Notamacropus eugenii: one gene and its partners. The protein of the gene in region 2 interacts with the protein of the main gene of each other region in a pairwise test. Links are inferred from orthologs where the notes say so. Each region holds a gene or a part of one and is shown on either strand. Other genes may lie near its edges.

Region 1 (10,453 bases), on a different chromosome or scaffold from region 2:
AGCCCAGGGAGGGTGATCAGTGTGGTGCAGAGCTTCAAGCCCATATGAGAATCAGTGGAAGGGAAGTGTTTGGCCTGAAGGAAAGAAATAAGGAAGACTTGACAGATGATTTTATATATTTGAAGGACTGTTGTTCTCTTTGGAATCACTCTAGGTCGAGGTAAGTCTGGAAACTGAGAGCTTGATAGAAGAGATCAAAAAGTTTAGGATCTGCCTAGCCTGGAACAGGGAAAATTTCTTTTAGTTTCATTTCTAATGACCTCACATTCTTATTTCTGAATTTGCATATTCTCTTTTTTTCCCTTGCAAATAAACCCTAGAAATGTGAACTTGTGGGCTGGCAGGATATGGTAGCTGGTGCAAGATTAGAAAGAGGGAAGTAGCGCTTTCTGTTGGGGTCATCTCCCCCTACTGGATTGCAAATGTATATTCTCTCATTAGAGAATGAACTGGTTTAGGTAAACTCTATATAAACCTCAGTGGAGTAGCGTTCTCGTACACATAAATACTTGTATTATGTTGTAGTGGCTAGAACCACATGCCAAGATAAGGTGGCCACAGCCTAGGCAGGTCATCCTTTAGTACCTATATCTGGCACAGATATCGTAAATGGACCAAGACCTTGACCCTGATTTGTGGTCTGGGGCTCAATTTTTTATTGAGTTAGTATGAATGTTGACTATGGAAGGCATTTTGGTTTCACTCTTGGATCTTAGTCATTTCCCAGGCTCTATCCGATGATAAACCAATACTGTACCAGTTACTTTTGAAAAGGCAAATAGCATCTATCTATTATCAGCCTTAACTGTTCTGCAAAGTGGTATCTGGACAGGAAATATTTTTGTATATTCTTTTACTTATTTATCATGCAGGCTTTAGTTGGTTCCCTTTCTCCTTTCAACAAGGAAGTGTTCATCTTCCTAAAACTGCCTTAGCATGGTGGACCCTGTGTTTTGTTAATATTGTGTGTGGTTTTGTTCAGATACCTCCTAAATTCATTGTCATCTACTTTTATATTCCAAAGACATAATTTAAGAAAGATGTTTCAAAGATGTTCCTTGCTCTGCACTGGCTCTTCTCATTGAACTTCGACTTGAGGATGCTGACCTCTTCTTGATATAAATAGCCACTACTTTTTCCTTGAAAATGGTGTGGTCAATGTGTCTTGCCTAAAGAAGATCCAGTTATTTGTGTTTCCTTCATATAGTGATTCCATTTGGCCTCCTGCTTTTTCTTTGTACTGGACCAGTAAGATGATTGGTGTAAGGAACTCCCAGTGAGCACCCCCCTCTCCCAATTGTAGTGAGGGCCTATAATACCTATAGACCAACAGCTTTAGAGTCAGAAGGGATCATAAAAGTTGACTAGTCTGCATTCCGCTTATTTTACAGATAAGGAAACATAGCTTCGAAGAGGTTAGAGATTTGTCCAGAGTCATATAGCCCACACAAGTCTCCGAAGTGGGATTCAAGTCAAGGTCTTCCTTGTTGTAAATAAACCCAGAACATTATCTATTATGCTGTGGTTTTTATGTGGAGATAGGGGCTCTCCCTCTTCCTCCTTCATACACACCTACCTGGTCCTCAGGCACGTCATAAAAAGCCCTTTCCTTTATCTAGCCACTAAGTTGTGATCTAAAGCCTATTTTCTACCACCCTAGGGAATGGAGAGGCCTCTGCTAGGAATACAAAAAAAGACCCAAATAATCTGTTTTTCCCCTCTGCAAAATGGTCATGATATGGTGTATAAATGGTTACAATAAGGACTGTGACCACTGGTTAGAGCTGATGGATTTGATGGGAAAGCTTTTTACATCCCTTGGTGGGGGAGGAAGGTGCCAAGGATCTCATTGTTGCAAGCAAATGGGGTCACCCTATGAATGAGCTAAGAGATAGCTTGTCTCCTCTGCCCTTCATTCTCAAGGAAAGACAAGGGTAGAGCTCAGCTGCAGGTTGATATTTATACAGAAATCCTGCTTCTAAGAAGAGAAATAGAAAAGAGGATGAGGGAGAGGGCTAGAGGAGAAGGAAAAATACAATTTCAGATAGATGATAGATGTACATACATACATTATATATGTGTGTATATACACACATTCAGAAACTCACAGTGCCTCAGATTATGTTCGTTAGTTACTGAAGAATGAAGAAAAATTTTTTTCCTATATTTGAACTTCCAAGTTAAATGGAAGTTTATTGTACTTGATGATAAAATGTCAGAGCTGGCAAGACTTGGCCTTGTCAATACAACGAAATGACAATTCTACCAAAGTTAGTTTTCAGATGTGATGTTATACCAATCAAATTATCAGAGGAATCTTTTATAGAACTCAATAAAATAAAAACAAAATTCATCTGGGGAAATAAAAAAAATCTAACACACCAAGGGAAGTAATGAAAAAGAGTTATAATGAAGGAGAAATAGCATTTCCAGACTTCAAAATTTATTATAAAGCAGCAATCATCAAAACCTCTTGGTACTGGTGAAAAATTAGAGAAATAAATCAATGGAAAAGACTAGACAAGGGAGAATCAGAAATAATGAGACTCAATAACCCAGTGTTTGATAAACCCCCAAACATAAATTACTTAGGAAAAAATTCCCCATTTGATAAGTACAGCTAGGGAAAATGAAAAGCAGCCTGGCAAAAATCAGTCTTAGACCAACGTCTTACACCATATTCCACAATAAATTCAAACCAGATACATGACTTGAATATAAAAGGTATTTACATTAAAAAAATTAGAAGAGAAACATATTTTGTATCGTTTACATCAATGGGCAGATGTATTCCTAACCAAAAAAGATGTTCAGTCAATGAAAAAAGATAAAATTGATCATTCTGATTACATAAAACCAAAAAGGTTCTGCACAAACAAAATTAATGTATCTATTCTAGATTAAGAAGTGAAGTGGTCAATTTGGGCAAGTTCTTTGATAAGGGTCTGGTAACCAAGATATATAGCTCTCAGAAATATATAAAAATAATAGCCAGTCCCCAGTAGATAAGTGATCAAAAGACATTAACAACTGGTTCTCAGAAGACAAATTTCCAGCTACTAGCAGCCGTATGAAAACCTACTATCACTAATAAGAAAAAGGTAAATCGAAACAACCCTAAAGTTACACCTATCACCCAGAAAATTGGTAAAGAAGATCAAAGATGGAAATAGTCAATGTTGGGGGGATTATGGGAATATAAACTCATTGTTGTTGGACCATTTTGGAAAACATTTTGAAATTATGCATTACTTATTAAAATATCCACGCACTTTAACTCCAAGATTCCACTACAAAGCACATCCCCCAAGGAGCTCATTGATAAAAAGCAAGTTCACATATACACCAAAATATTTATAGCAGCATTTTTTTGTGGTAGCAAAAGGCTAGAAACAAAGTACATGTCCACTGATTGGGAATGGCTAAACAAAATGTGGCAAGATAGTGTTTTTCCCCAGGTGTATTTGGGGGAGGATATGCTTTATAGCTACTGTTTTTCACTATGTCATCTTAGTAAATTGCCTTTGAAAAGAACTAATTGTGTGTGCTAGGTAACTGTTAATAGGAGCATCTGTGGAGTCATGTGATCACAGGATTATAGATTTAGAGCTGAAAGGAACTTCCCTTAGAGGCCATCAAGTACAACCTCCTAATTTTACAGATGAGGAAACTAAGACCCAGATAAGTTAAGTTTTGTGGGGTTTTTTTGGTTTTTTGAGGGGGAAGCATTCATGGTTAAGTGACTTGCCTAGGATCACAACAGCTTGTAAGTGTCTGAGGTCTGATTTGAACTCAACTCCTCCTGCCTCTAGGGCTGGTGCTCTCCGCTGCTCCACCTAGCTGCCTCCTCCCCTAGAAAGGTTAAGTCTTGAGGTATAGTGGTAGGAGTACAGACAGACCATCTGAATTACCTCTAGAACCTGAAATAGCAGCTGTTCTCTGAAAAACCAGTCTTTTGAATTCAAGGATGAGTTGAGGTTCACTTCAAAAAAAGAGCTTTGCACCGTAAAGTGCTTTCTTCACAGCAAACTATGGGGTAGGGGTATAAGTATTAGTATCCCTATTTGGCAAATGGAGAAATTGAGGCACAGGGGGGAAGTGACTTGCTCATGGTGACACAGTGAGAGAGAGGTAAGGCCAGAACTTAAGCACAGGTCTCCTTCCCTTATGCCTAGAAAGAGAAGATGAGGTGAATCCTTATCCTTTCAAAGACCACTGACTCACAGAGATCATAACCCTAGAATCACCTCTCATTGGTCCAGTATCCTGGTCTTTGGGCAGCCCTCCCGGGCAAAAATTTTTCTATCCTATCTTTAGATAAAAAATGGAAATCTTTATTGACCTGGTAGGAGAAGAGATTGGAAGCCAAGACATCCAAGAATCAATTAAAGGATTATCAAATGGATAGCCAGAATGTGGGCTTGGGGAAGGGAAGAGACAAGATTATTTTGATAGCTACAGGACTAGGAGTCCCTTCTCTCTAATTACACATTGTCCTCCCCTACTCCAAACCTCCCATCAATGGAACTTACACATCATGTGCAATATAAGCACTGCTTCCCCTGCTCCTACCTCCATCCTCCCATTATACTGGTTCCATTTTTCTTTGTGTTTCTTCCCAACCAACCTTCAATACTATTTTCTCCTCCAGTCTGTAGTTCCTTGGTTCCCTGTCCTCCTGTTCACCTCCTCACCCCTATCTTCACTTTTCTACCTTCCCCAATTGTCTTTCCAATATTCTCTTACTTTCTGTCCTTAAGAAATGTCCCAGAAATTGTCAGAACTCAGAGAACCTTATATTATAGCAAACAATGAAATGATAAAACATTATAACTGGTAGGGAATGTGTGCCATAGAATGTTAGAGTTTAGAAAATCAGAGCTGGGAAGAGCCTTAGAGAGTGGAATGTAGAAACTGGGTGGGGCCTCAGAACAGGGTAGATCCATGAGTATAGCATGCAGAATGTCTGAGCTGAAAGTGGCCTTAGAGAATTTCTTAAACTCTTGGAATTCTTTGCTTTCCCCCTTCACAGGCAGATCAACCACTGCTAGGTCACTTGGCCAGCATCAGTTTTCTCCTCCTGGGTGGGTCTCACTTCCTTCTTGGCTTCTTTCTCTCTATGGTGTACTGGTCAGAAATGGAAGGCCCCTGAGACTCTTGGGGGGCAGTTTTAGGAAGTATTAGAGTTAGAAACTCCACACAGCACACCCAAGTCTGAGGACTTCCTCTGTGGCTATGGTGAAGGGGAGGAGCCTGGAGCCCCAAGAAGACTAACATGTTCCACCCCAGATGACACATCTTCTGTGTCAGAGAGACATAGAGGCTACCATCACGGGGGACAGGGACAGCCAGGTCAAGCAGAGGCACAGGAGAAGGCAGAAGCAGGCAGGAGGGGATCTGCCCTCCTTCTGAGGGCTCAGCATGACTTTGTGTCACCCAGGTAAGTCTCCTGGGGCAGGGCAAATTCAGAAAAGTGGGTATTAGAGAAACTGAGGAGAAGGAAAACAGTGAAGAATAGAGCTGTGCTCTGGGCAAATCACTCAATTTCCTCATCACTAAAATAATTAAATCTCATGATCCTATAAAAGATCCTATAAAAGACAGAAGAATGTCCTACTCCAACCCAGAGCTGGGTAGCCAGGAGGAGCATTTCACTGTGAGAAATGGTCCATCCAACTTTTCTCTCCTCTACCTATGGGCACTTTATAGCCAGCTTAGCCCCAGAGGAAGAATCAGGAGCAATGAGGAGACAGACAGACTGCAATCTGATGTAAGAAAAAACTTCCTAAAACTCAGAGCTGGGCCAAAGGGAAATTTAGTGAGCTCCACATCACTGGGGATCTTCAAGGAGAGACAGAAGTACCACTTATGAGGGATATCACAGACGGGATTCCTGGGAAAGTTCATATTGAACCAGATCTCTCCAAAGAGATGCCTTCTACCACTGAGCTTCTGTGATTAGGAGTCATCACTGTGAGGGCAGGAAAGGAGGAAAGGGACCATGAATTCATTCTTTCATGTAGTCTTTAAATAGTTATTTAGGTCTTTATGTGTGCAAGATACTTGTCACCATTTGTTTTGAGCATAGTAGATAGCATAGAATTGAGAATTAGGAGAAGCCTTAGAACAGGGAACATCAGCTGGGAGGGACCTTAAAACCTTTTTCCTTCTTGAAGATATCCCAGAATTTCTTTGTCCTATGGATACAGGTGGTAGGGAGTTGGAAGACAGCAGGGAGTCTGGAAATCATCTTTTCCCTTTCAGGATGCAAGTTATGAATTGTGTTTGTGTGATTCAGTAACTACCTGGGCTCCCATCCCTAAGATGCTCTGATCTTAAAAAAAACAACATAATACTTTGGCAGGGCTTAAGGCCCAGGCCCCACCCTAAAGCAATGAGGTGGAACAAATGATATTGCTTCATTAAAAGAGAGTACAAATCCCTGTGCTCCTTTCCTCCTGGTAGGATGAACCTTACACTCCACTGGGGATGAAGAGAGGAAGTCTGGTTCAGTGTAAAGGGCATTGGATAAGGAATTAGAAAAGCTAAACCTGTCACTTACTCCCTTCTCAGTCCTGGATTTCGCTTGTACCTTGGGCCTCATTTTATAGATTAATTTGCATCCATAAAATGAACACATTGGCCTAGACCACTAGTATCTTCTTTCCCCAAAATGATCTTGTGTTTATTTTATATATGTATTTCTATGTTAATATATTGCTCCCCTATTTGAATGTAAGCTGCTTGACTATTTCCTTTTTGTCTTAGTATCCCCAGAAACTAATTCAGTGCCTGGTTCATAGTAAGCAATTTATAGGTGCTTGTTGATTGATCAATTATTTGATGGCTTCTGAAGTCTCTTTCATCTCTAGGTCCATGAGCCTTTGACCTGGGTTTGACTTACAGCTTGGCTATTTGTGCAACCTTAGACCAGTCCTTCTGCCTCTGAGCCTCAGTTTCCCTCATGAGCCTCAAGAGAGATTAGATCAGATTGTTCCTAGGGGCCCTCTTTAAATCTTATGACAGTAGTTGACCCATCTCAAAGGCATGTCTTATATAAACAAGTAGCTCAGCTTGGAGATGGGAGTAGGTTGTCCCTAAATCTCACTAATCTCACTAATACATAGGAAGTCTAGTCTGGAGGCTCTCTCAGGGCCACCTCATGGACAACTCTCTATAACCCAGGGTCAGTTCAGGACCCAGAACTTAAAAGTGGGCCACTGACCTATGTCATACAGTCCCTTAACCCATCTTCTTCCTGATAAAAAATTTCATTATGGTATCTAAAGGTGGAATGTCTGGTGGAAATGAGTCTCCATAGGTTGGTCTTGGCACACTTAAAATCCAGCTGGAGGCCTTTGATAGCTAGGTAAGACCTGCTAGAAGTGGCAGTCCACTAAGACAGTCTCTGAGGGTCCAGGATCCATCCACATCACAGACACACTGAAGGGAAAATTTCAGGGAAGAAATCTAATTCCTACAGTGGAAGAGCTCCCATTTCCTTCCCCCCACCCCAGGATTTCAGGATTTCAAGGGTGTTTTCATGGCAATAGCTTCCTGATGAAGGGGAAATAGGCATTCTTGCTTCCATGAGGAAACTGAGGTTCGAGGAGGGCCAGTGACCTGTGCAGAGGTAGACAACTAGTATGCAGTAGAATTAAAATTCAAACCCCTATCTTCTGACTCCAAATCCCACTTTCACTTTTACAAATCCCACTTCCACCTATTCCTAGATACTCAGCCAATGAGCAAGTTGTTCTGGGACTCTGTTTCCTCATCTGTCAAACATAAAGGTTAGACTATATTATCTCTTAAGTCTCTTTTCTTCTAAATCTACGATCCTGTAATAATCGGTAAAGTAAAAGCCTAAGGATATCTTCAAGACCCTCTTCATTCCCCTTAGGTTTAAAAAGTATGCACTGATTTCTTCATTTTGTATCAAGGAAACTGAGATCTAGAGAGGTTATTTGATTCAAGGTCATTTGATTCAAGGTCACACAGCTAGCGAGCCCCAGACAAGGCATTCATACCTAGGTCTCTGGATTCCAAATCCATCATTGTTTTCATTCTCCTCAGCTGACTGCCTTCTTATCATCTCTCAAAAATTTCTGGGGCTCAGCCTCCCTTCCCCCTACTAACAGGAAGGTAAGGGGATCCGCTGGTGAGATAGACAACCCTACCACAGAGAATTGTTTAGAAGTGACCTAAAAGGAGCCTGGCGCTGGGCGGTAAGCGAAGCTAGCTCCACCAAGCAGCCCAGACCTGGCGAGTAGAGGAAGCCGCTGGTTGGTGTGAGCGAGTGGTGTACACCCACAAACCAGGCAGGTTTGCTCAGTGAGCAGCTGCCTCTGCTTGCTGAGAGACTGCCTCATTTTCCAGTCCCCCGCCCCTCCAGGGTCCTGCTCCTCTGGAAACATCTGCCCCCTCTCGGGGGCATCACCCCGCCCATGGGGTTATGAGCGTCTCTGTCCGGGAAAGGAGAAGTGACTCCAGCTGTCCTGAAAGCTGGTCTTGCACACTAAATGATTTCTAAAAATATTGATGGGAAAGAGGAAGGAAAAAAACGGAAGCAGTTTCAAGGACTGGACGCCTGGAGCGCCCGGATCGCTAGGGTGGTGCTGACACCGAAGATGACAATGACAGCTGGGGAGACTGAATGAATGATAACTATGCAAATGAGCTAAGCACTATATCCACCACCCCCATTTTTCAGATGAGGAAAGTGAGGCTCAGAGAGGCGAAATAACTTGGCCACCATTGCTCAGACGATAAGTATCAGAAGCTGGATTTGAAAACTAACTCTCACCCAGCACTTTATCATGTTCAAGTCAACAAGACTTTCTTTCAGCTCCTACTATGTGATGGGCACTGTGCCAAGAACAAGGGATAGCCCAAGGAACTAGTAGTCTAGAATTGCCACTTACCTGGCAAAACTCAAAGGACCCTCTGATATTTAGGAGCTGGGTGTTTCTCTGAGCCTCAGATTCTAATCTGTAAAGTAGGGTTAATAATCCATGACCTCCCAAGGCTGTCAGGGGGAAAGTATTTGGCAAAGCACTATCCAAACTCAAGTGATCCTGATAATGCCCTCTCTGCCTCTCTTCTCCTTTCTCAGCACTAAGGGAAGCCCAGAGTTTATTTTGAGTTTTGTTTTGGGGTTTTTTGAGTGTGGATTACTTGCATTGAATAACGATAGCTAGCATCTATAGAGACCTGTAAGGTGTACAAAGAACCTTCTAGGCATTATCTCCTCACTTTGAACCACATGAAGCATGTCGAGCAAGAATTATTTCCCCCATTTTATAGAGAAGAAAGCTGAGGTTAAGGAGCCTGTCCAGGGCTACATCTTTATGAAATGTCATAGGCAGGATTAACACCCACATCCTGTCCTACACCAAGCTCAGTGCTCTATCCTGCATGTTAAGCTGCTTCACAGAGGGACAAGATAAAGCTGCAAATGCATCCAAATTTGTACAGCCCTTTATTGTTCAGTTGGACAGTTCAGACGACAGTTGGCACAATGGGGAGATCACTGGATCTGGAGTCAGGAAGCGATAGATTTAAATCTCAATCTGCGTGTCCCTGGACAAGTCACTGAGCCTCTAAGCTCCAGTTTCCTCAGTCAAGGTAGAGGAAGGATGCCTAGTGGATATAGAGCTGACCTTGGACTCTAGAAACAATGGGGGCGACTAGAAACAGACTTCTTTGGGCATATTGACTTAGAAAACCATAAATTAACATTATCCATGTTGCATTGTACTTTTATTAATTTTGTTAAATGTTGCAGTGAGCATCTGACATCACTGCAGAAGACCTGGGTTCAATTCCCACGAATGATCTATGCTAGCTGTATGACCCTGGGCAAGCCTCTTAACTTCCTCAAGCCCCAAACAACCCTCTGGGAGCCTTTTTTTTGGGGGGGGGCGTGCTAATCTTCATTGTTGAAAGAGAAAGTTCCCAACCAGCTCCCTAGATGGATGGAATGACAAGTCTGGTCAAAGCAAAAACCATGCGGTATGATAATAGCACTTATCTCACATTGAGAACATCCAGTGGGATTATGTATAAGAAAACTGAGATTCTGAAATATGCCCATGGTCACACAACTAGGAGATGCTGGAACCAACTCTAGGATCAGCTGCACTATGCTACCTCCACAGCAAGCTCACAGGTCTTTATTTTGTCCATGAGAATAGTTTCAGAGTCCTAGTTAAGCATCATATTGGAATTCAGGTGTACCATCTGCCTTACCTAGTCAGGTAACCCTGTCACAAAAGGAAATGAGGTTAGTCTGCATCACCTGTCATCATGAACCCATGCTGGCTTTCAGTGATCATCACTACAACCAGGCTTTTCATTACATGTCTAAATTTTTTTCAGGAATTAAACTCAAGTTTACTTGTCTTTATTACCATTAATCCTTTAAGATAAGGACTCTAACATTTGTCTGTCT
Region 2 (10,807 bases):
CGCTCTCGCCGCACGGGCGCGCACCGCGCGCACTCCCTGGCCCGTCAGCTGAAGGCCAAGCGGCGGCGGCCGGACCTGGACGAGATTCACCGGGACCTGCGGCCCGGCAGCGCCGCCCGCCGGCCCCAGCCTGACGCCGAGTCGGACCCCGACCTGCCCGGAGGCGGCCACCACCGCTGCCTAGCCTGCGCGTGAGTTCCGGGAGGGGCGGGGCGGGGGCGGGCCTTCCGGGGGCCGTGCTGGGGAGTGAGGGGGTGGGGCAGGGGGAGGGGGGGACCCAGGGAGTTCCGGCTGGGGAGGCTGGGAAGTGGGGACCTAGGGAGAGGGGGTTCATGGGGGGCTGGGAAGTGGGGACCTAGGGAGAGGGGGTTCATGGGGGCTGGGAAGTGGGGACCTAGGGAGAGGGGGTTCATGGGGGCTGGGAAGTGGGGAGCTAGGAGGTGCAGCCTAGGGGATGGGGAATTGGGGAGCTGAGGGCCAAAAGGGTTTTGGGGTTTGGTGTGGGTGGTTATTGAGGGAGGACCTGGAGCTTGGGGGATGGGAAGGGGTCAAACTGGGTGCTCCCTCAGGAAGGAGAAGCTGGAAGGTGAAAGGTCAGGTGTTGAGGCCAGGCTTTGTCTGGATGCTCTTCTCTGGAGGGTGGAGGGGAGGAAAAGGAGCCTCTACCCACATCTTACCTCTGTCCCCCTCCAGGAGATACTTCATTGATACTGCCAGCCTGAAGAATCATTTAAAGTCCAAAGATCACAAAAAAAGGTTCGAGGCTGGGCTGGCTCCCTCCAGCTGTTAAGGCCCATCTTACTCCCCTTCTCCTGGCCCTTCATTTCCTCTCCCCTTCCCCCTTCCCCTCTTTGCCCTCCCCCACAGCATTTCTTCTTTCTCTCTAGCCTCTAATCTCTTCCCTTGATCCCCTCTCTGATCTCCCCCTTCCTCATTTCTTCCCAATCTTGCCCTGACCCCTCTTTAACCCTGGCCCCTTTTTTCCTACAGGCTCAAGCAGCTGACAGTAGAACCCTACAGTCAGGAAGAAGCAGAGAGGGCAGCAGGCATGGGCTCTTATGTGCCCCCCAAGTTGTTGGCAGTGCCCACAGAGGTATCTACCGAGATATCGGATATGGAGGTGGCCAGCTGATGCTACCCAAGACCGAGGAAGCCACTGTGGGATGACCCTGCTAGGCTGGTCTGGCTGGACTGTACTGTTCCCCCAACACTCAGAGCAGAGTCTTCTTACTTTTCCCCAATAAAGGAGCTGAGCTGCTACATGTCTTCCATGTTTCTGATTTCCCCTGAATGCCAGGCTGGAGCTGATGCTTGTTCCCCATCTACATTCCCCTGGGAGCTCCTGTATCCCTACTGCTCAAGGTGTGCTTGCCCATGGGCTATCCCTGTGGTACTCTGCCACATGCTGAACCTTGGGATCAAGGGAATAAGAACCCTTCCCTCCCATTACTTTGCTTTGGACGAATGTCACCAGATGGAGCCCCAGTCATGGCATGTCTTCTGTGTCTGCACTTTGCAGTTTTCCAGGTTTATTCCATCCGGGGCTCCCACTTCTCCAGCCTAGGTAGGCATGGATGCTACGTGTACCTCATCCTCTTCCCCTTGACCTCCCAGCCTGTGGGGGCCATCATCCAATGGGGTGGTGGGAGGGGGGATGGTAGAAAGAAACAGGAAGAGTTCTTTCTCTGGATATTGGGTGAGGTGGATGCTGTCCCCCAGATTTTCAGGGGCTCCCTGTCCCATCATGGGGTCTTCGGGGACTTTCCTTGACCCGCCAGCTGCCGGACACTGTAGAAGGAGAGGCCTAGACCAACCACAGCCAGCATTGTGGCCAGGGCACCCATCAGTTGGTTGCGGGGCTCTGCCTCCAGCTCCCCAGTCACTTGCATCTGGGTAACAGGGTAAAAAGGGAGCAGCGTTGGGAGAGGGGAGGCAGCCAGGGAGTCCCTCGAGATCCCAGGGTGTTTCCTCTGACCATATGGATGCTGACAGGGAGGTTGAGAGGGTAGGGGGCTGGTGGGAGGTATCAGTAACCCCACCCCTTCTTGCTCAAACTCAGGAAGGGCTAGAGGGTGGCCTCCCCCCCAGGGACATTCCATCCCGATGCTCTCTCGCATCAGTGCTGCAGGGCTAGCATACGGGGCCCAGCTGCTCAGGCGGCATGCAACGTGCCTGACTGGCTCCTACTGTGGCGGATTGGGGGTAGAGGAGAAGGGAGTCTGGTCAGTTATGGGGTGGGGAGTGGGGTTACCTCTAGCATCCGAAAATATCCTGGGGTCAGTCGTCCAAAGCGCATGTTGGCCTAGGGCTGGGGGTGGCCGTCTGGTAAGGGCAGGAGGGGAATGAAAACCTGGTTGGCATTTCTAATGCCACTAAATAGAAATTGGGTCAGGGGGAGGGGGCAGGAATGCTTAGGGCTACATTCTTGCTATGTCCCCACCTCTTGCTCACATAGCACCCCTCCCCCCAACACGCACACGTACACACTCTCCTCTACTTTCTGCTCCTTGTTACTGGGTGCTTAGCTTCGTATCTTCCAGCCCCCAAACCTTCCTCCGCACCCCTATCCCCATGCCAGGAAAGCTCCTTTCATCTCCCCTAACCCAAAGGCATGGATGCCCAGAGAAGATGCTCACCTTCGGTTGCCTACCCACGACTCACAGGCAGCTGGGACAGCAGTGGGTCCTTTAAATCAGGTTCCCTCCCCTTACTGGGCCAGCCTGGGCGGCAGCTGTCAAGACAAATCAACATCAGGCTGGAATCAGGCCTTTGTGCCCACCCCATTTCCTGCCATGGAGGCGGGCACCTGAATACAAGGAGGAAGGAGGCCTCACACCAGCAGGGTATGTGTCATCTAGGGTAGGGGTGGGAGAAGTCGCTAATCCTGCCTGGACTGGTGTCCTGGACATTGTTTGGGTAGAGCAGTAGGACGTCCAAGCTCTCAAGACGCAGCTAGCATTGGTGCAGTGGAAGGAAGCGCAAGATTTGGAGTCAGAGGGCCCAGGTTCAAATTCCACTTTTGATACTATCTGTGTATGGCATAGACCCTCTCTGCCACCTCTGCTCCATGAAAAGGCTATGTCTCATCAGTGCCTTCACTTCCTCTTCTCCCATTCTTCTAAACCTGCACTCTGGCTTCTGACCTCACCATCATTCAACTAAAGCTGCTTGCTTCAAAGTGACCAGTAATCTTGCTGCATCAAATGGCCTTTTCTCACTCCCTTGTGCATCTTACCCTCTCCCCTGCTGCCTTTGATACTGGCGATCGCTTTCTTCTGGGCACTGTCTCCTCAAGGGTTTCGTGATACTGCTCTCTCCTGGTTCTGTGTCCAATGGCTCCTCAGTCTCCTTTGCTGGTTCCTCATTCTCATCATTCCCTCTAACTGTGGCTCTGTCCCGAGTCCTCTTTTCACTCCGTATTCTGACTTGGTGATCTCCTTAGTTCCCACGAATCACTATCTGTATAGAGCCAATTCCCAGATTTCCACACAGCTCTTGTCTTTGATGAGCCAACACCTTCTTGAGTATCTCACACTGGACGTCCCATATGCAGCTCAATCTCAACATCTCCAAAATGATTCTTTGTCTTTCCGCAAAAACCTCCCATTTTACATTTCCCTATCGGTACTGTAGGGACCACCATCATGTTCCCAGTCAGGAATCTGTGTCATTCTTTGTCCGTACCCTACAAGTATATCCCTTGAATACATCCCTTCCCCCCAGTCATATGACCATAACCATTGACTGAGTCCAGGCCCTCAGCACCTCTTGCCTGGACTCCTGCAACAGTCTTCAGATTGACTCCCAATCCATTCTCTCATCTCCTAACATTTTTCTAAGGCAAAGGTCTGACCATATTAGAACCCTACCCCACCAGTGAACTTCAGTGGCTCTCTGTTACTTCCAGGATCAAATATAAAGCCCCGTAACTTGGTCCATTCCTACCTTTCCAGATTTCTTACACCTTACTCTTCCCCCTCATACCCCCTCCCCCCACTATGAAGCAGGGGCTTAGTCATATCTCTTGAACTCTACTCCATCTCCCAACCCTTGGCCTTTGCATTGGCTGTGCCCCCCCCCCCAAACCTGGTATGTTCTGCCCCCTCACCTCTGCCTCTTAGTTTCTCTGGCTTTCATCAAGACTCAGCCCAAATCTCGCCTTCTCTCAGAGCCCTTTCCTGGTTCTCCTAACTGCTAATGCTGTTGTATACCCTTTCAGATTATGTCCCATCTGTTCTGTATATCTCTCTTATGTTGTCTCCCTCCTTAGAAGGTAAGTTACTTGAAAACTAGCACTGCAAGGTTAGTTTATTTTTTTATTTTTATTTTTTGCCTTTCTTTGCAATTCCAGCATTTGGTACAATTCCTGACACATAGCAAATGCCTGTTGGCCGACTTCTGGATGTTTAATTCAACCTCATTTTACAGAAGAGATAGCCCTGGAGAAGGGCATTTACTTGCTCATGGCCACTCAGGTCTGTTGACTCCAAATCATGATCTTCCTTCTATCACAGCCCCTCTCCCTTAATAAGTGTTAAACTAAATTCCTTTCTAACTAGCTTGGTCATTTTAGAGCAGCCCTAGCTTTGGAGAGCAGAGGAAACTCCCTTTTCAATCTAGGGGGAGATTATATAGTCTCATTTCTGTTGTGCTTTTAGTGCTAGAAAGCTGCTTCAAACACTCATCCGGTGCTTTCTCAGCTACAGAAACATACCCATTCTGTGAAGGAGGAAACTGGGGCTCCCAAAGGTGAGGCCCCTCACTTGCCAGGGGGCAGAGGTAGGACTAGATATGGCCCATGTCTTCTCACTGCTCACCTGACATTCTTTCAACAATTGGTTTGACTGATTGATCAACAATCCAAAAGCCTTTTGTTTTTGGACTAAGTGCCAGGGGAGGGAACAGTAGGGGCTCTTGAAAAACTTGGCTCTTTTAAGACTCAGCTCAAGTGCCCACTTCCTGAAAAGACAGTTTCCACTGCCCCCTGTTCCACTGTATATGAAATTCAGATGCCTGCAAGGGCTCTCAGAGACCCACTCCTCATTTATAGATGAAGTCCAGACAGTACACATGGGCTGTCAGAATCCAGTGCAATTTGAACCCAGGAGCTCAGGGCTCATTCCACTGTACCAATAACTGGTGTTTACTTCTGTGAGGTCATGTTTGTTGTACATCACCCTACTCAGGGAATTTTAGCCTTTTTGTGAGTCATGGATCTCTTTGTTATGCTGGAGAACCAGAACGTGTTAAAAAGCATAAACTCAGTTTCCCAGGATTACACAGGAAACCAGTTATTCTGAAATACACTTAATTTTTTTTTTTTTTAAATTTAAAGGAACTCCAGGTTATGAACCTCTGCGTTGGTAGAAAGTAAGGGGCTGTTTTCATTTTTGTCACAGTTTCTGCGGTTTAGGGACCATCTTTGTTTGCAGTAGACCTGTGATTTCCTTGGTGAGGGGAGCTTCCTCTTCTTTGCATTTTACAGGTCTTAGCCAGTTGCTTAGTGACCCTGGGTGTTGTGACTTCACAGTGTCACCCAGCCTGTGTGTCAGAGGTGACACTTGAATATAGGTTTTCCTGATTCCAAAGCCAGTCCTTCTCTGACCTGCCACATAGCAGGCATTCAGGGGATGCTTGTGGCTTGATTAATTGAGCTCCTGACCCCGACTGACCTTAGGAGGCTGGGGCTGGCCGGTTTTGGGGAGGGAGAGCCTGGAATCCCTCTCGCAGCCCTGTGGCACACCCACTGGGCCCTGGTTCCGGATTTGGTCTGGTCGGGTCTCCGTGTGGTGTGGCGTCTTTGGGAGTTAGGTGGGCGCCCCGTGGGCAGCCCGAGGTGGAGGTCAGCGCCTGCCTGCCACAGGCACCCCTCTAAGCCCCAGGGCCGAACCTTCCTCTTTGCGGACCCTCAATTTCCTCCCTCCTGGGGTTGGTGTGAGATCATGCGACGCTAGTAAGGGGTTCGGTAACCTGAAAGGGTGATCCTGGTGGGTCAGGACCCTATTGTGCCCCCCCAACTGCCCAGCAGCCCCCCCCCCCACTAAGGGAAGCGGGACACGTGTGCAGCAGGAGGGGTCCGGAGTCCACCCGCTCGGGAAGGCGCGGACCGGCTGCTGCGCCCCGACAGTCTCACCCAGCAGCGTCCGCCCCCCGAGGCTAGAGTTGGGAGTGGGGTGGGGCTCAGGAGGGGCGGGGCTCCCCGGGCTGACGGGCAGAGCGGCCGGGCCAATAGGTGCGCCGGGATGTTCACCTGGCCCGGCCACGTGAGCGCAGGTATGTGGCCGACTCCGCCCCCGGCTCGGCCCCGCCCGCCCCAAAGCCCAGGGAGGACTTCGGGTTTCGGGGGCGGAAATTTCCGGGCGGGTCGGTCTGGGATTCGCGATGGAGCCGGTGTCATCCTGGGGTCCTGGGTCGGTGGTAGCCTGGCTGAGAGGTGGGTAAGGATGGGGTGCCCTGGGGGCTCTACTTCGGCCGGTATCTTTGTGGGGGGAGGGAGGATCAGGGAGTGGGGGCGGGGTAGGGGAGGCTCTTGGTCTACACTAGCCTGAGCAGGGAAGGATTATTTCCACTGACCCTGGGGGTGCGTGCCTTGTCTACACTGCCCAAAAGTCCCGGAGGTGGGAAGCGGTGAAGCAGTGAGTCCGGGGACCCAGCTGGAGCTCCAACCGTCCGGGGTCCCTCCGGGGTGTGAATGACGTAAGGAGAAGCTCATCCTCAGCCCGGCTCGGAGGCAGGGGAATGGACGCATTGACTTCTCGGGGTCCTCCCAGTTTCCGAACTGTAGGCCCATCCCATTCCACACCCCTTCCCTTCTTAAAGAGGGAGCAAGACATTCTCCTAAGATGATCACCCATTTCGAGGGCGAACCCTGTGCAGATGGGCAGTGTAGGTATTTTTGTGCCCTTTTTTTCACAGATGAGGAAACCGAGGCTCTGAGAGGTTGGCACCACCCCAACTTCGGTCTCTGCCTCATTTCCTCCAAAACTTAGCTCCATGGCCCCCCTGAGAGGCCTGTCCTGATCCCCCCACACTTGGTAATAGCCCTGCCTCTCCTCTGGACCTGTTTATTTACCTGTGTTCTTGCGGTCCATCCCAGGGGAATGTAAACTCCCGGTAGGCAAAGACTTTTAGCAACTCGTAGGAGCTTAATCCGTGCTGTTGACATTCTGATAGGTTAAGTGACACCCTCAGGGCCATGTAGCAGGTGAATTCCCAGAATTCAGGCAGCCCCCATACTCTCCTTACTGCCCACCTCAGAGGGTTTACAGCCTCAGGGACTGAGGGCTCAGAGGAAGGAAGCTGAGCTATAGTCACAGCCTGTATAATATACAGATATAATCCTATCTCCTTTATCTTCAAAAGGCCGCTGACATCTGGAGGAGACTATCATTAGACCCATTTCTCAGCTGGAGAGACTGAGAAAGGAGGAAGTGACTAGCTCAGAGCCTGTGGGAGAAGAAGCAGGCAATTTGCCCACATCAGCTTTGACTGACACCACTCAGGCTGGAGTGGGCTGGACCTGGACTCCAAGTTCAAATCCGACCTTGGATACTAGCTGTGTGCCCCTTAGCAAGTCTGCCTCAGTTTCTCCAACTGTAAAATGGCAATAAATAATAGCACCTACTTTCCAGTGTTATTGGGAGGATAAAAATGAGATGTTTGGAAAGTGCCTTGGAGACTTTAATGCCCTATAAAAACCCTACCAGCCATTAGTGGCTGCTATTATTTAGGGTTAGACAGAAAGCTCCTAGAGCAGGGTAACCTTTTTTCATCAGTGTGGTGAAGCCAGACTGCCCCTTCTCAGAGTCTTGGTTTTAAATTCATAGGATTACAAAGGAAACAAATTATAATTGAAATAGAATTATCAAAAAATGAAAAGTTCATTGACCCCGGATTAAGAATCCCAGGACTGGTCTGTAGGGGAGATCCTGTAGGGGAGTCCCCAGTCTGAAAAGGAAGGTATACCAAAGAACTCTCCCAATTGTAGAGAGTTCTAGAAACCAGTACTGGGAAAAAGGGGAAGGTAGGTGAGAGCAGAAACCAGTCCGGGTGAATCAAGAAGGGCTTCCTGGAGGAGGAGAGCCAGGAACAAGTTTTGGGAAGGGCCACAGAAACAGCATTTATGCAGGCTTAGTGGTCATAAATTTGGAGCCAGAAAGGAAATTCCAGATTGTCTAGGCCAACCCTGTCATTTTATAAAGGAGGAAATTGTGGAGGGAAAAACTAACTTCCCTAACGTCACACAGGGACTCAAGCTACTGCTCTTTCAGTTCATGTGTTTCAACTAGCAAAGACTCGAGCACCATCTTGGAGAGGCTGAAGGGGGTGGGAGGGGAAGTGAACCCTCAGGAGACAAGTCAGGTAGATGGAGAAGCAGGTAGCAATAGGGACTTAACTGAGAAGATTAATCTAAGAGAAACATAGAATTTTATTTTATTTTCAGTGTTAGAAAAGAATTTAGAAACTGTGAGAAGAGCACTACCCCAAAAGACAGAGGGCCAGAATTTAAGCCCCCACTAGCGATGGAAGCAAGCTATATTTAAAGGCAGTGAGCTGATGGTTCAGTGGATAGAGATCTACAGCTGGAGTCAGGAAAACATGAGTTCTAATCCAACTTCAGGTACCTTCCTAGCTTAGTGACCCAGGCAAGTCATTTTTTCCTCAGTTTCCTCAACTGTAAAATGGGGATAGTACCTGCCTTGTAGGGTTGCTTGGCGTGGGGTAGGTGCTATATAAATTCTTCCTTCCATTCACTATCTATGAAGTTAATCACTTAACCTTCCTGGGCCTCAGTTTCCACATCTGCAAAATGAGAAAGTTGGACTAGATGACCCACCAGTTCATATGAACTATCTAATCCAGAGATGATTAACTTGGGGTCTGTGAATTTGTGTGTATGTGTGTTTTTAGATATTTTAATAACTAGATTTTACCACAGTTGGTTTCCTTTATATGCCTATGTATTTTATTTTATGTTTTAAAAAACTCATTGTTCTGAGAAGGGGTTCATAGGCTTCACCAGTCTACCCAAGGGGTCCATGGCCCCCTAACCCCCCAAAAAGGTTAAAAATCTCTATCTAGTTCAACCTTCATGTTTACAGAGAAGGAAATTGAGCCCCAGAGAGGGGAAGCAAGTTATATAATGTCACTCAGCAAGTTAGGAGAAAATCTGGAGCTCATAGTTCAGGGAGAGCCATTTATAGTAGATTTCAGAGTGTGTTTGTACATGTATTTATGTGTTTGTGTGTGTGTGTATTATATATATACATATATAGATGGAGAGATAGATGTAGATATGTATGTGTGTCGTTATGTGGGAGTGTGTGTGTGTGTGTGTGTGTGTGTATGTATGAGTGAGTAGGGAGGTTCAGCTCACTATGTGAAGAACCCAGGAGCCCTGATCCCCCAGCCCCATTAAGGGAGAGATGTGGAGAGTAATTCTGTGTTATCCCTCCCCTGGGACTCTGCAGAAAGACAGCATGGGGACTGAAGCGGGGAGCTGCTAACTGGACCCCACAACCCTTTGAGGAGGGATTTTTTATGGCATAATTTGCCTCAGATTCCTTAAAGAGTGAGGCTCATCTCTGTTATCATTCCCTTCCAAGTCTCTGGGATTCCTCCAGCAGTCCTGGCCTAAGCTACAGCCTAAAAGAAAATCTCTTCATCTAGTGTTGTGTTTAAATGTTTAACAACTGGCTGTCCAAAAAATCAAGTGCTCAGAACATGCCTTAAAGTTAAATTTTAATAATAATATTATATAACATTTGAATAATATGTTTATATTATGTAACATTTTAATAATGTATGTATTAACATGTTCTTTACTGTCTAGATGATAAAAAATAATAAAATAGAATAATTGGATAATATATAATACTAAAGTTTAAAATAAATAATAATTAAAAAAATAAACCCTGATTTGTAGCTTTTGCTGAAGTCTAAATGCTCACACTGAAAATTTAACAGCCAGCTCTGTCTCTTGGACACCTTTAGAAGGGGAGGTCAGAGAGGACTAACAGACTGACATTTTGGTAAACTTTTGACTGCTGTGAGCTTTGTATCTTAGTGTTCTTTCTAAGTGACCCTTTAATAAATATTTACAAAGCCCTTACTGTGCGCCAGGCACTGTGCTAAGTGATGGAGACCCAGAGATTACAATGGAATACTCTTGCCCCTCTGAGAGGAAACAAGTGTTATGAGTCGTGTCTGACCCTTTGAGGTTTTCCTGACAAAGATACTGAAGGGGTTTGTCATTTCTTTCTCCAGCTTGTTTTACAGATGAGGAAACTGAGGCAAACAAGGGTAAGGGACTTGCCCAGGGTCACACAGCTAGTCAGTGTCTGAGGGCGGATTTGAACTCAGACAGGTGAGTCTCCTTGACTCCAGGCCCAGAGCTCTGTCCACAGTGTCACTTAACTGCCATAATCACAATAGCCGTCATCATCATCATCACCAGTAGGTACTTACAAAATACAAGATAAATTGGGAGGTGGTGGGGCGGGGATAAAGAGGAGGCCCCTGTAATGGGGACAGGGCAGCAATCAGGAAATATCTCACATTGAAAGGAGTATTTGAGCTTGACTTTGAAGGAAATTAGGGATTCTGAGAGGTTACCATATAGAGGGAGAACATTTTAGACAGGAGATGGAGGAACTTCAAGCAGGACTGCCTGAAGGTGAACAGGAGGGCCCTTAGAACCCAGAATGTCAGAGCTGGGAGGGCCCTTAGAACCCAGGATGTCAGAGCTGGAAGGAGCCTTAGAACCCAGGATGTCAGAGCTGGGAGGGCCCTTAGAACCCAGAATGTC
Region 3 (10,465 bases), on a different chromosome or scaffold from region 2:
CACAATTTTCCCATCATCTCAAAATATTTAATATCTTTTAATATTTCAAGTTCTTAGTATTTATTCTCATTTTCCTTTTACTTTCCCTCAAAAGCTTCATAATTTCTAGATTACAAATAAAGAATCATGATCCTTAAAAGTTATGCTTTGACAATAGCTTTTTTCTAAATAAACCCAGTTACCCAAAAAAAATTATATTAGGAAAATTATAAGTAAAATTAACATACTTTATCTCTAGTCTATCATAAATTATTTCTGACCTTATCCATGCTACGCCATTAAGCCGGTTTACCTTCTGTATATTAGCTGCCAAAAACACAAAATTGCCTCCTATTTAATTATTCATCATCAATTAAATATTAAAGTTAATATCAAAATTCTGTAACCACAATTCAAAATGAAAGCTATTTTAAGTGCTCAACTAATTTCAAAGAAATTGGAAAAAAAAGAAAAAAGAAAAGAAACAAATCACTTAATACTTTTCCTGGATCAACTCCGCAAAAACAAATACAATAACAAAAGAATTCAACCAAAGGTTAAGATTCAAATTATATAGTCTAGAAAAGCTGTTCTATGCAAACACTAAGAACTAAAAACAAATATAGAGTCCATTTTTTAAGAACTTAAAAGAAGTAAAGAATTATATAATTCATTTTTGCTCACAACTTCCTCTGAAGATTGAAAAATGAACTATACATACACACATTTATATCTTAGCCATATGTTATTTTTCTGTCACACTTTTTCAATTAACAGAACATGGTTGGCAATTTGGTCATACAGAACTATAGTTTAAGGATAATTTCTGAAAAACAACTGTGAAACAATATGGATCTGAAAATCAACAAAGCTTTTATGGAATTGAAAATTTCAAAAGTTACATACCACATATATAGAGTGATTTGTCTTTACAATTTTGGTGCCCTAGTCATTACCTCTTCTAATTGCTTAATTCTTCTTTCAATTACTATATACATCAACCTCATCTCTCTGATTATCTTTTAGGAGAAAAAGACAGTAAATGTACAAACTTCAAGGTTTGCTGAATTACAAAAGTATCAAGTCTGTTCAATTTTCAAGGACCTTTAGCCTAAGCATCATTATCAATGAATATTTTTTAAGTTCTCTTCCTTAGTTTGCCACGACTATGACTATGACCAGCTAAATTAACTCATCCGTTAAACAGGAATAAAACTGACCTTCCTTGGGAAAAATTCAAGGTGGGCTATTTTAATTAATCATCATCTCTGATGATGACATGCCACTTAAAGAAAACATGATTTTTTTAAAAGAAAATCATTAGAAAAATCCACTCCTGGATATACATTAATAACTGTGTCAAGAACCGACTTGAAGGCGAACTAACTTTTAAAAATGGGCATGTGCAGAAGTTAAATGTAAGCATATTTAATTTATAGTGTGGCCACCATATAATTATGATCCCGTCAGTCAATAAAGATCTATCAAGCAGCTGCTATGTTCCAAACCCTGTGCTAAGTACCGAAGATACAAGAAAGGCAAAGGCACTCTTTGCTATCCAAGACCTCGGAGTTTAACTCAAGAGACAAAATGCAAACAGCTATGTACAAACAAGCTATATATACAGGATAAATCAGAAATAAGCACTAGAGAAAAAACATTAGCATTAATGGAAAGGCTTCCTGGAGAAGGTAAGATTTTAGCTGGGATTCAAAGGAAACCAGAAGTTAGTAAGTGCAGATGAAGAGGGAGAGCATTCCAGGCATGGGGAGACAGACAGTAAGTGAAAATACCTGGAGTTGGGAGATGAAGTGTCATGTTTGAAGAACAAGGAGGCCAGTTTCACTGAATCAAAGACAAGACATAAGGGCCTTCCACAGCACAGCATGGAAAATAAACTTTTAATGAAACAAATCAGAATCACAGAATGTTAGAGAAGGAAGGGACTACAGATATCAGATAGTTTAAACCCCTCATTTTACAGTTGAGGAAACTGAAGCTTTGACGGACTGATCTGCCCAGTCACATAGGAGCTGACAGAGCCAAAAATCTGCATCTCCATCTCCAAACTCCCAAGTTCATTGTTTTCCCCACTACACTACATTGTCCATAAAAAAAAAAAAAAAGGTTATTGAATTGTATCCAACAACATCTTTAAGACATTCCAAATGCCTTCAACGCTTCAAAGTACACATTTAACATCACATTTTGTTTTAGCATTCAACAGCTGAGAGGCAATATAGAATGGTAGATAAAGGACCCGACTTGGAGTCAGGAAAACCTGGGTATACTTCCTGCTTCTGACAGTTACAAGCTGCATGATTATCCCCAAGAATGATCCCCCCCCCAAAAAAAACCTATAGGCAGCTTGGCTATTGAAGGATTTTCAACTAGATTTTTTCCTCACTAGAGAACTTTTATAAACAATGCACCCACTTGGTGTCACAAAGTTGTCCCTGGCTTTAATTGCATGTACTTGAACTCCTATAGCTTATGTCAACTATTTCTCAGCATAATGACAACATTACTTCCTTCAGCAAACACATTTCCTCTATATTGTAAATTCCTGAAAGCACCTTGATTAACCATCTCATTCTAAAGCACCACTGCTGATTATTTATACTGACAACAGCTAAGCAGCCATGATCAGTATCAGAAAACAAGCTTCCTAAGCTCCAGGGATGCTGACAATGCAGTATGGAGGTAGGGGGTGGGAAGCGGAAGACAATTTCGTTGAAAATATGAAAAAATGAAGAGTCATACTTTGAAGAATCCTAAATTGCAAATCTGCTTTTCTTTCCTTTCGAAGCTATCTTCTGTAATAAAGGATATAACATGTACAACAATTCTTTAAAATCAAAGTTGTTCAGATAATCAACTTCATACAATTTAGACAATACCAATTTAATTAAATGATAAATGTCACTATGACTATACTTCATCACTATTATTTAAGAGATAAGACAAAATGTTTTGAATTTTATTTACGACAAACATACAGCTTCCAGCAAATATTAAAAAGGAGAATTTAAGGCATTCTCCCAATAAGACAAGACACAGAAATCACTCAGACCATGCCCACTAAGTACAACAGACCTACTTTCCTAATATAAGACAGAAGCCAAAACTTACTGTTCCCTTGCCTTGCTTTCTACCTCTCCTGTCTGCTGCAGCTCATAACAGACTCCTTAGCAGAAATGATTTATTTTCTCTTTTCTATGAAACACTCCCTTTTTTATACACGTCAAGTTCTCAACAAATAAGCAATACTGTTGACCCCTGTCAATAAAATCTCCTCTCGCAGTTGTTAGCTTAAGCAGTTTTAATGACTCAAAGCTCTGGACAACAAAGCCAGTGTTTTCCTATTTTTCCTTCATTTCATCTTCCCTTGGAGTAAAAAAAAAAAAATAAGAGTATATAAAAACTTCTACGGTACTGCCTCCAACTTATATTATGTCCCTCGGAGCTTGACAGGCCCCACCCTGCCTTCCTAGTCTTGGGAAAGGAAAGGAAAAGGATCCTCTAACAAACAGAAATAAGAAATTTTTCGTGGGAAACAGGAGGGATTAAGGCTGAGCTTCTCCCCGGACAGATGAACAAATGCGATTTTCCCTCTGCAGTCTCCGTCCCAAACCAATGTTAGCCACAATCCCCCCGAGCCCAGCCCGCCCTGGCCCCCCTCTCACAGCCCGGATCGGTCCCGGTCCTCGTCGGGCGGTTGCTCGAGTCCCTCCGAGGCGTCCCGGAGGTCCCCGAGCACCCCGGCTCCCCGTCCCCATCCCCTCGGGGCGCAGACCCCCCGCTCCCCCTTGTGTCCCAGCCCCTCCAGCCTGGCGGGGTTGCTCTGTTCCGGCCCCCCCTCCTTCCCTGTCTACCTTCCCCTTCTCCAGCGGCCCCCGCCCCGTCTCACCTCCCCAGCCCCTCTGCTCCAGCCCCCTGCCCTCCTTCCCGAGACTTCCCAGGTCTCTCCTGCGCCCTACAGTCCCCGCAGCCTCCGGAACCCCTCTTCTGCTCCTCGCCCCCCACCTCCCGAGCCCTCCGGCTCCGTCCCCCCAGGGTCCAGCTCCCCGTCCCTGCGGTCCCCCAATGCCTTCCCACCTGGGCTCGGTCCCCGTCCCTCGGGTCTCGCCCCCGGTGCCCTCAGTGCTCGCCTCTTGGTCCCCGTCCCTCGTCCCCTCGGTCCCTAGCCTCGGTCCCCTCTCCGGGGGTCCCCCGCGGCCGACGCTCCGCCGCCGGGCTCGGGGCAGCGCCCGGGCACTCACCGCTGCCTCCGCCGCCGCCGCCGCCTCCTCCTTCTTCATCCATCTTGGGGCTACAACAGCTTCCAGGGAGCCCGATCCCCCGGAGGGCGCGTCGCGGGAAGACGCGGGGCTGAAGGCCAGGCTGGGAGCAGCTCCAGGCAGCGAGCCGCCGGCTCCGGGCAGCGCCTAGCTCGAGGCTCCCGGCTCCTGGCTCCAGGCTCCGGGGTCCCCGACTCTAGGCTCCTCCGAGCGCAGCCGGCGACGACGACTCTCCCCGCGGCCGCCGCCGGCCCCGCCCCGTCTCCCTCCGCCCCGTCTCCCTCCGCCCCTCGCCGCCGCCATCGTCACGTGACCGCGGCCGGCCCGGCCCGCCCTGGGACGGGTGACAGGAGGCGGCCGCGGGGCCGGGCCTGGTGCTGGCGAGGATCCCGGGAGGGGCCCTGGGGCGTGGGGCCGGGCCCCAGCCCCAACCCTACATTTTCTGACAACCCCCACGGAACAGGCCGGCCGCGGAGCCGTGGCGACGAGAGCATCGCCTTCCTTGTCGGCCCCGCTGTGACAGGAGCGGCGCCTCGGGTCTCAGCCCTGCGCCGAAGGCGTCGAGGCCTCTTTCTTTCCCGGCCTGTCCGTGACCAGAGCCGCGCCTCCGTCCCAGCCCCATCGCGACGGGAGCGACACAGCCTACCCCGGCCCGGCGGGACCGAGCCGCGCCCCGCTCCCGGCCTGCCCGCCGGGACCGCGGGGAGAAGGTGGAGGCGGACAGACAGGTCTGCGGGGCACTCTGGCGGGCATTCGCCCGGACGGCCCCCGCGCCTCCAGAACGGCTGATTTAGCCCTTTGGCCAGAGGCCCCCGAACGGCCGGCGTGTACCCCGAGCGTGCCCTCTCCTCCGCACCGCCTGCCCGTTGGTGGCACCCCTCGAACCTCTCCTTTCCGAAGTGACTTTAGATCGGGGCGAATGGAAAGCTTCCTAAGGAGCGTTCGGTGGGTGTGTTAATCAACGTGAATAAATTGTGTCCTGCCGAAGGCCGGAGACGTGCTGGAACGGGCACTGCGAGGAGTGATACCCTTGGGGGCTGGTGCCAGGGGCTGGCACGAGTTCTGTGACCTTGAGTGGGATATTTAAATCCCTCTTGGCCTTCCACCTCAACCTGGTGAAGTCAGGGAGCGCAGACCAGCTCGTCTCCAAGGGCTCTGGCCGCACTAAAAACTCTAAAATGCAACCATGTTTCCTTCCCCTTGGACAATTTCATTTGAACAACCTTAAAAAGAAAAACAAATAAGACAACCTTTCTGAATGTCATTATGTTCCCTAGCTCCTGGGAGAGGTGGTGGTCTGTGGAGGGATAATAATATGTGTAAATTGTGGAGGCCATTCCACCCCCCTCCCCATTTGTACTGCAGTTCATAGAGCACAGGGTCTGCCTATCTGGCCTGGCCCAAGAATTCAGAACCAGTACTTTTATCTCAACCACTTGTCTTTGTCATAGAGTGAGAAGGGTCTCTAACATCTCAAAGGAAAAAAGCACAGCCCCAGAAAGGTGCCTCAAAGACGCCCAGCTGGTTATTGGCTGGACCTACATCATTCCTAATCTGACTTTAAAATAATTCTTAGCTTTTCTGCTTTCTTTTAGATAAAAAGGAAATTGATTTCCCCTTTGCCCACTGATCAAAAAAATTAAATTAGCCTAGTCTAATAGAGTATTAGCATCTAGGCTATGAGCAAATTGAACTGGGAGCACACAGGGAGAGCATACCCCAGAGAAAATAGTCAACATCATTCTGATCTGTTGTAACTTTACAACTTCTCCTCTTAAAAAACACTACCAGCTGTGCAACGGATTTATGGCAGAGATTAGTCTAAGGCCTCAATTCAATTTCATGTAGGATATTAGCTGTGGTCTGAAGCATAGATTTATCCCAATGCTTCATCTTTTCTGCCATACATGTTTGTTCTTTCTGCAATGTTCATTGTAAAAGTATGTCCTTCCTATTCATTTTCCATAAAGTTGGTTACGTGAACTAAGATTTTAAAAATTATATCTAAAATAATGTTCTATAAACTAAAACCCTTAGGTTTAGCAATTAGACAACAATGAATCATTTATGTCATAGGATCCTTTTATTGGAATTGTATTCACATTTAACAAAATTTTCCAAGATTAATCCATATAAAAGTGTTTTCAAGAGAGTGTGATGGTGGAAAGAGTACTGGACCTAGATTCAAAATACCTGGAAAGGAGTGTGTTAAGCTATGATCTTAAGTCAATTCACTTAGTGAGACCTGTTTTCTCATCTGAAAAGTAGGAATGAAAGGCAACATGTAGACAATCCGGACCACCTGAGTTTAAGGTCTGTCACTCATTCAACCTCTGTGACTTTGGGAAAAGCAATTAAAAGAAAAGCTCTTTTGCCTTCAGTCTCTCAAACTGTAAGTTACAGATGATTGGCCAACTTACGTTGTCGTCGTTTGTTATGTTTTTATTTTTAGGGTGCTTTTTGAGGGGTCAGGATTGAAGAAGGTGTCCCTAAACTAATGAAACCATGAGTCTCGGCTGCCAAAATGTGCATAATAATACAATATTAGGGCAGTTAAATGGCTCAATGAATAGAGTGGCAGTCCTGAAGTCAAGAAGACCCGGTTTCTGAGTGTAAAACTGGCTTCAGACACTTACTAGCTGCATGACCATGAGCAGGTCACTTGATTCTGTTTGCCTCAGCTTCCTCAGTGGTAAAATGAAATGGAGAAGGAAATGGCAAACCACTCCAGTATATCTGCCAAGAAAACCCCAAATGGAGTCACAGAGTCAGATAGCACTGAAAAAGGACCGCACAACCATATTGACACTACCTGCTTTACAAGGTTGTTGTGAGGATCAAATGATGGTGGAAAAATATCAGTCAAGTATGTGAAGTGCTACATTTCAGCTCTTACTAATAAGAATAAGAATAACTTTTAAGAATTATCCATCTAGAATTTGGGGGCCCCTAAAGCTAAGCAGATCACTCTGCTTTAACAGATCTTGGAGCTGATGCAGCCAGGGCCATAATAACCACAAGACAGTAAGGAAGACAAGAAACAGTAGTTTTAGGTTTCTGTAATGCCAACTGTTGCTGTGTCACTTCTGAAGCAGCAATTAGCATTCTGCATCCTTTGAATGGTTGCTGCCTAGGATCTTCTTGGGTTGAATCAACATCCAGCAGCTCTGAGAATTTGTGTGTCCTTTATCCCTAGTTAGTTGAGTTGTTAATTCAATTCTACTAACACTTGTTACATACCTGCTATGTGTCAGGCATTGGAGACACACACACACACACACACACACACACAAACCCAACCACAACAAACAAAAAAGTCCTCAAGCAGACTACATTCACTTGGGAGGATACAACAAGTGCAAAAATCAACACCAATTATACACCAAGTAATATAAATAATTTCAAGAGAACATGTACATAACTGAGGGGGATACAGAAGTAAGTAAGTAAGCTACATTTCAAAGGAAGCTAGGGATTTACCAGGTAGAGATGAGAAGGGAATAAAACATTCCAGACATGGAGGACCTTGTGTGCAAAGGTAAAGACATGAAACATCTTTGGATGGATCAGCCTGGGGGTAGGGGTGGGGAGGAGAAGTTAAACTGGAAGGAGGAGTACCTGAAGGGGAATAATATGAAATAAGACTGAGAATCTAAGTGAGAGTCACATTATGAAAGCCTTCAAATGATAGATTGATGATTTTGTATTATATATGTACATATATATATACATATGAAATTTGGGGGTTATTACAACAATGCAGAAGAAAATTATAATGGTAAGAATGAAATTTTAAAGAGCCTGAATTAATGTAGTAGGTGTGTGAGTTGAGAAGAGGATGTAACGTTGTAGGAAATGTCAGAGATGTTGTGGAGGAAGATTGAACAAAACTACCATTGACTGATGTGATGGACGAAGAATACAGAAGAATCAAGAATGACTCCAAGGTTTCAAACCTGAGTAACTGAAAATATGACAGTGCTATCAACAGAAATGGGGAAGTTTGAAGGAGGGGTAGGTTTGGGGGGAAATTATCACTCTAGCTACTGATAGTATAACAGTAACTACAACTGTCACTGACTGGCCTGGTGCCAATAATATACATATAAGCCTGTATCTAGTAGGAAGAAGGTAAGAGACTTTTCTCTTCCCCCAAAGTAATTGTATGTGCTCAGAAACTTATTTGGGGGCTGAGAGATTCCTTTACTACATAACTCCTGCATATAGCAGCAAATATTCAATATAGGATGTAAAAGTTGTTAGAAAAGAAGGAATGAAGACTTAGGTTTCAAGTTCTAACTCTAACAGAGACCACTGCATGACCTTCCTAGAGCAAATTACTACCATCTTAGAACGTACAAAATAACGACACTACTGTACGATTCAGAAAATTGCTTATCTCGGCAGCACATTTAACTGAGAAATGTAAATGAACTAGGAATTTTACGTCAAGTGCTCTAAGCCTAAACACCATGAAAATATAAATTATTCTAATATCAACTTTCTATCCAGGTGCTGAGACTACTTGGACTACGATCATCAGGCTTGGATTACCTCAAACTTTGTAAGTCAATCATCTTTGAATTGTGGAATTTTGATCATTATATTTATAGCAAGCCTATGATTATCTCATTTCAAACAATTTGACATTGCTTGACCATTGATACTCAACATGTGTGAAGATGAAAAAAAATCCAGTACCATGTGGTTCACTAGCTTTATGACCTTGGACAAGTCACTTCTCTCTGTTTTAGCTTCCTTATTATCAAAATGGAGATTATACTATGAATCTACCTATTTCCCAGGGTTGTTCTAAGAAATGCACTTTGCAATACTTAAAACACTATACAAGTGTGAGTTATTATAAATTATAATATATTGTGAGCTCAGAGTGAAGACTGAAGCATATTTTTCATTTTTTCTTGTGTTTTTTCCCAGAATATGGCTAATGAGGAACTATGTTTTGCATGACTCATATTTGTAATGGGTTCCATATTTCTTGCCTTCTCGATGGGAAGGAGAAGGAGAGAGAGAATCTGGACCTGAAAATAAAATAAAATTGAATGGAAAAAAATTATAATATATTGCTTTTAGTCCAGTTAAACTGGAAGGGAAAGTACATGAAAGGGAATAATAAGAAATAAGACTGATTATGAAAGACTTCAAATGACAGACTGAGGATTTTGAAATAGAGATATATATGTATCTATTTATATATAGATATATCCATTTATATATATCTATTACATATAGATATATCTATTATATATATATCTATATATATATAATTTGGGGGTTACTACAATAATGCAAAGGAAAATGATAAAAAAAAGTAACAGAGGACTGGTCAATGAGAACAGGGAGAATAGACATGATCAAATACACATTTTTTAATTAATGTATTTGTTTTCAGTTTTCAGCAATCAATTCCATAAGTTTTAAATTTTCTCCCCCTCCATACCCTCTTCCTCCCTGAGATGGCATGCAGTCTTATATGGGTTCTACATATACATTCTTATTAAACACATCAAATATATATTTTAAAAAATCCATTTGGAAGAGGAAGAGCCTGGAAGCAGTCAAAATGAGAAATTATGAGATTGCTGCGATAATACAAGGGAGAAGTAATAAGGACCTGAACTAAGGGATCAGGCCTGGGACCCCTGCCTATTGCAATAAATTTGGTTTCCTGAAGGTTTGTATGTTGATTAGTGTCTATTGTATCAAAACTTTCTCTCTCTCTCTTTCATTCTATATGTATATATACATATATGTATGTATACATCTATACGCACATATGTGTGTATACATGTATATATGTATGTGTGTATGTGTGTGTGTGTGTGTGTGTGTATGCCTAGAAATAGGATTGCTGCATTAAAAGATAAGAGCATTTTAGTTACTTTCTTAACATATGTTCAGGACCGGGCCTGACTCAGGTCAATACTGTGGTAGTTTACGTGCAATAATGGAAGAAAATAAGGCCATTCAACAGGTAGTAAAAGTTTTATTCAGCTAATTGTAGGAGAAAGATATTTAACAAAGATATGCAGGAAGGACATCCTGAGTCAATTCAGATGAAATAATCTTCCCTACCTCCATGTTGCCTTTAGCTCTTCATGAATATTTTGTACTCAGACAACTAAAAAATTACATCAATAGCCTGTAGTTCCTTGAACTAATCAAGGATATTTTCAGGTTATTTC

What was found.
Region 1: the proteins of CNKSR1 (region 2) and CYTH4 interact in binary tests that used the Homo sapiens proteins (3 or more experiments, as listed by UniProt). The two-hybrid records come from large-scale screens. The link is inferred for Notamacropus eugenii from reciprocal best matches to the Homo sapiens genes CNKSR1 and CYTH4.
Region 3: the proteins of CNKSR1 (region 2) and CYTH3 interact in binary tests that used the Homo sapiens proteins (3 or more experiments, as listed by UniProt). The two-hybrid records come from large-scale screens. The link is inferred for Notamacropus eugenii from reciprocal best matches to the Homo sapiens genes CNKSR1 and CYTH3.

What each region holds. Positions count from the first base shown.
Region 1 is NC_092874.1:294,397,995-294,408,447, forward strand, and holds the start of CYTH4 (cytohesin-4), read left to right. Parts: upstream 1-5,274; 5' UTR 5,275-5,421; coding exon 5,422-5,440; intron 5,441-10,453. UniProt on the Homo sapiens protein: Promotes guanine-nucleotide exchange on ARF1 and ARF5. Promotes the activation of ARF factors through replacement of GDP with GTP.
Region 2 is NC_092876.1:67,125,995-67,136,801, forward strand, and holds the start of CNKSR1 (connector enhancer of kinase suppressor of ras 1), read left to right. Parts: upstream 1-6,290; 5' UTR 6,291-6,381; coding exon 6,382-6,433; intron 6,434-10,807. Other genes in the region: ZNF593 (zinc finger protein 593), read left to right, coding at 1-191, 694-756, 991-1,132; putative transmembrane protein ZNF593OS, read right to left, coding at 1,743-1,889, 2,252-2,296. UniProt on the Homo sapiens protein: May function as an adapter protein or regulator of Ras signaling pathways.
Region 3 is NC_092874.1:396,040,045-396,050,509, forward strand, and holds the start of CYTH3 (cytohesin-3), read right to left. Parts: upstream 4,539-10,465; 5' UTR 4,285-4,538; coding exon 4,242-4,284; intron 1-4,241. UniProt on the Homo sapiens protein: Promotes guanine-nucleotide exchange on ARF1 and ARF6. Promotes the activation of ARF factors through replacement of GDP with GTP. Plays a role in the epithelial polarization.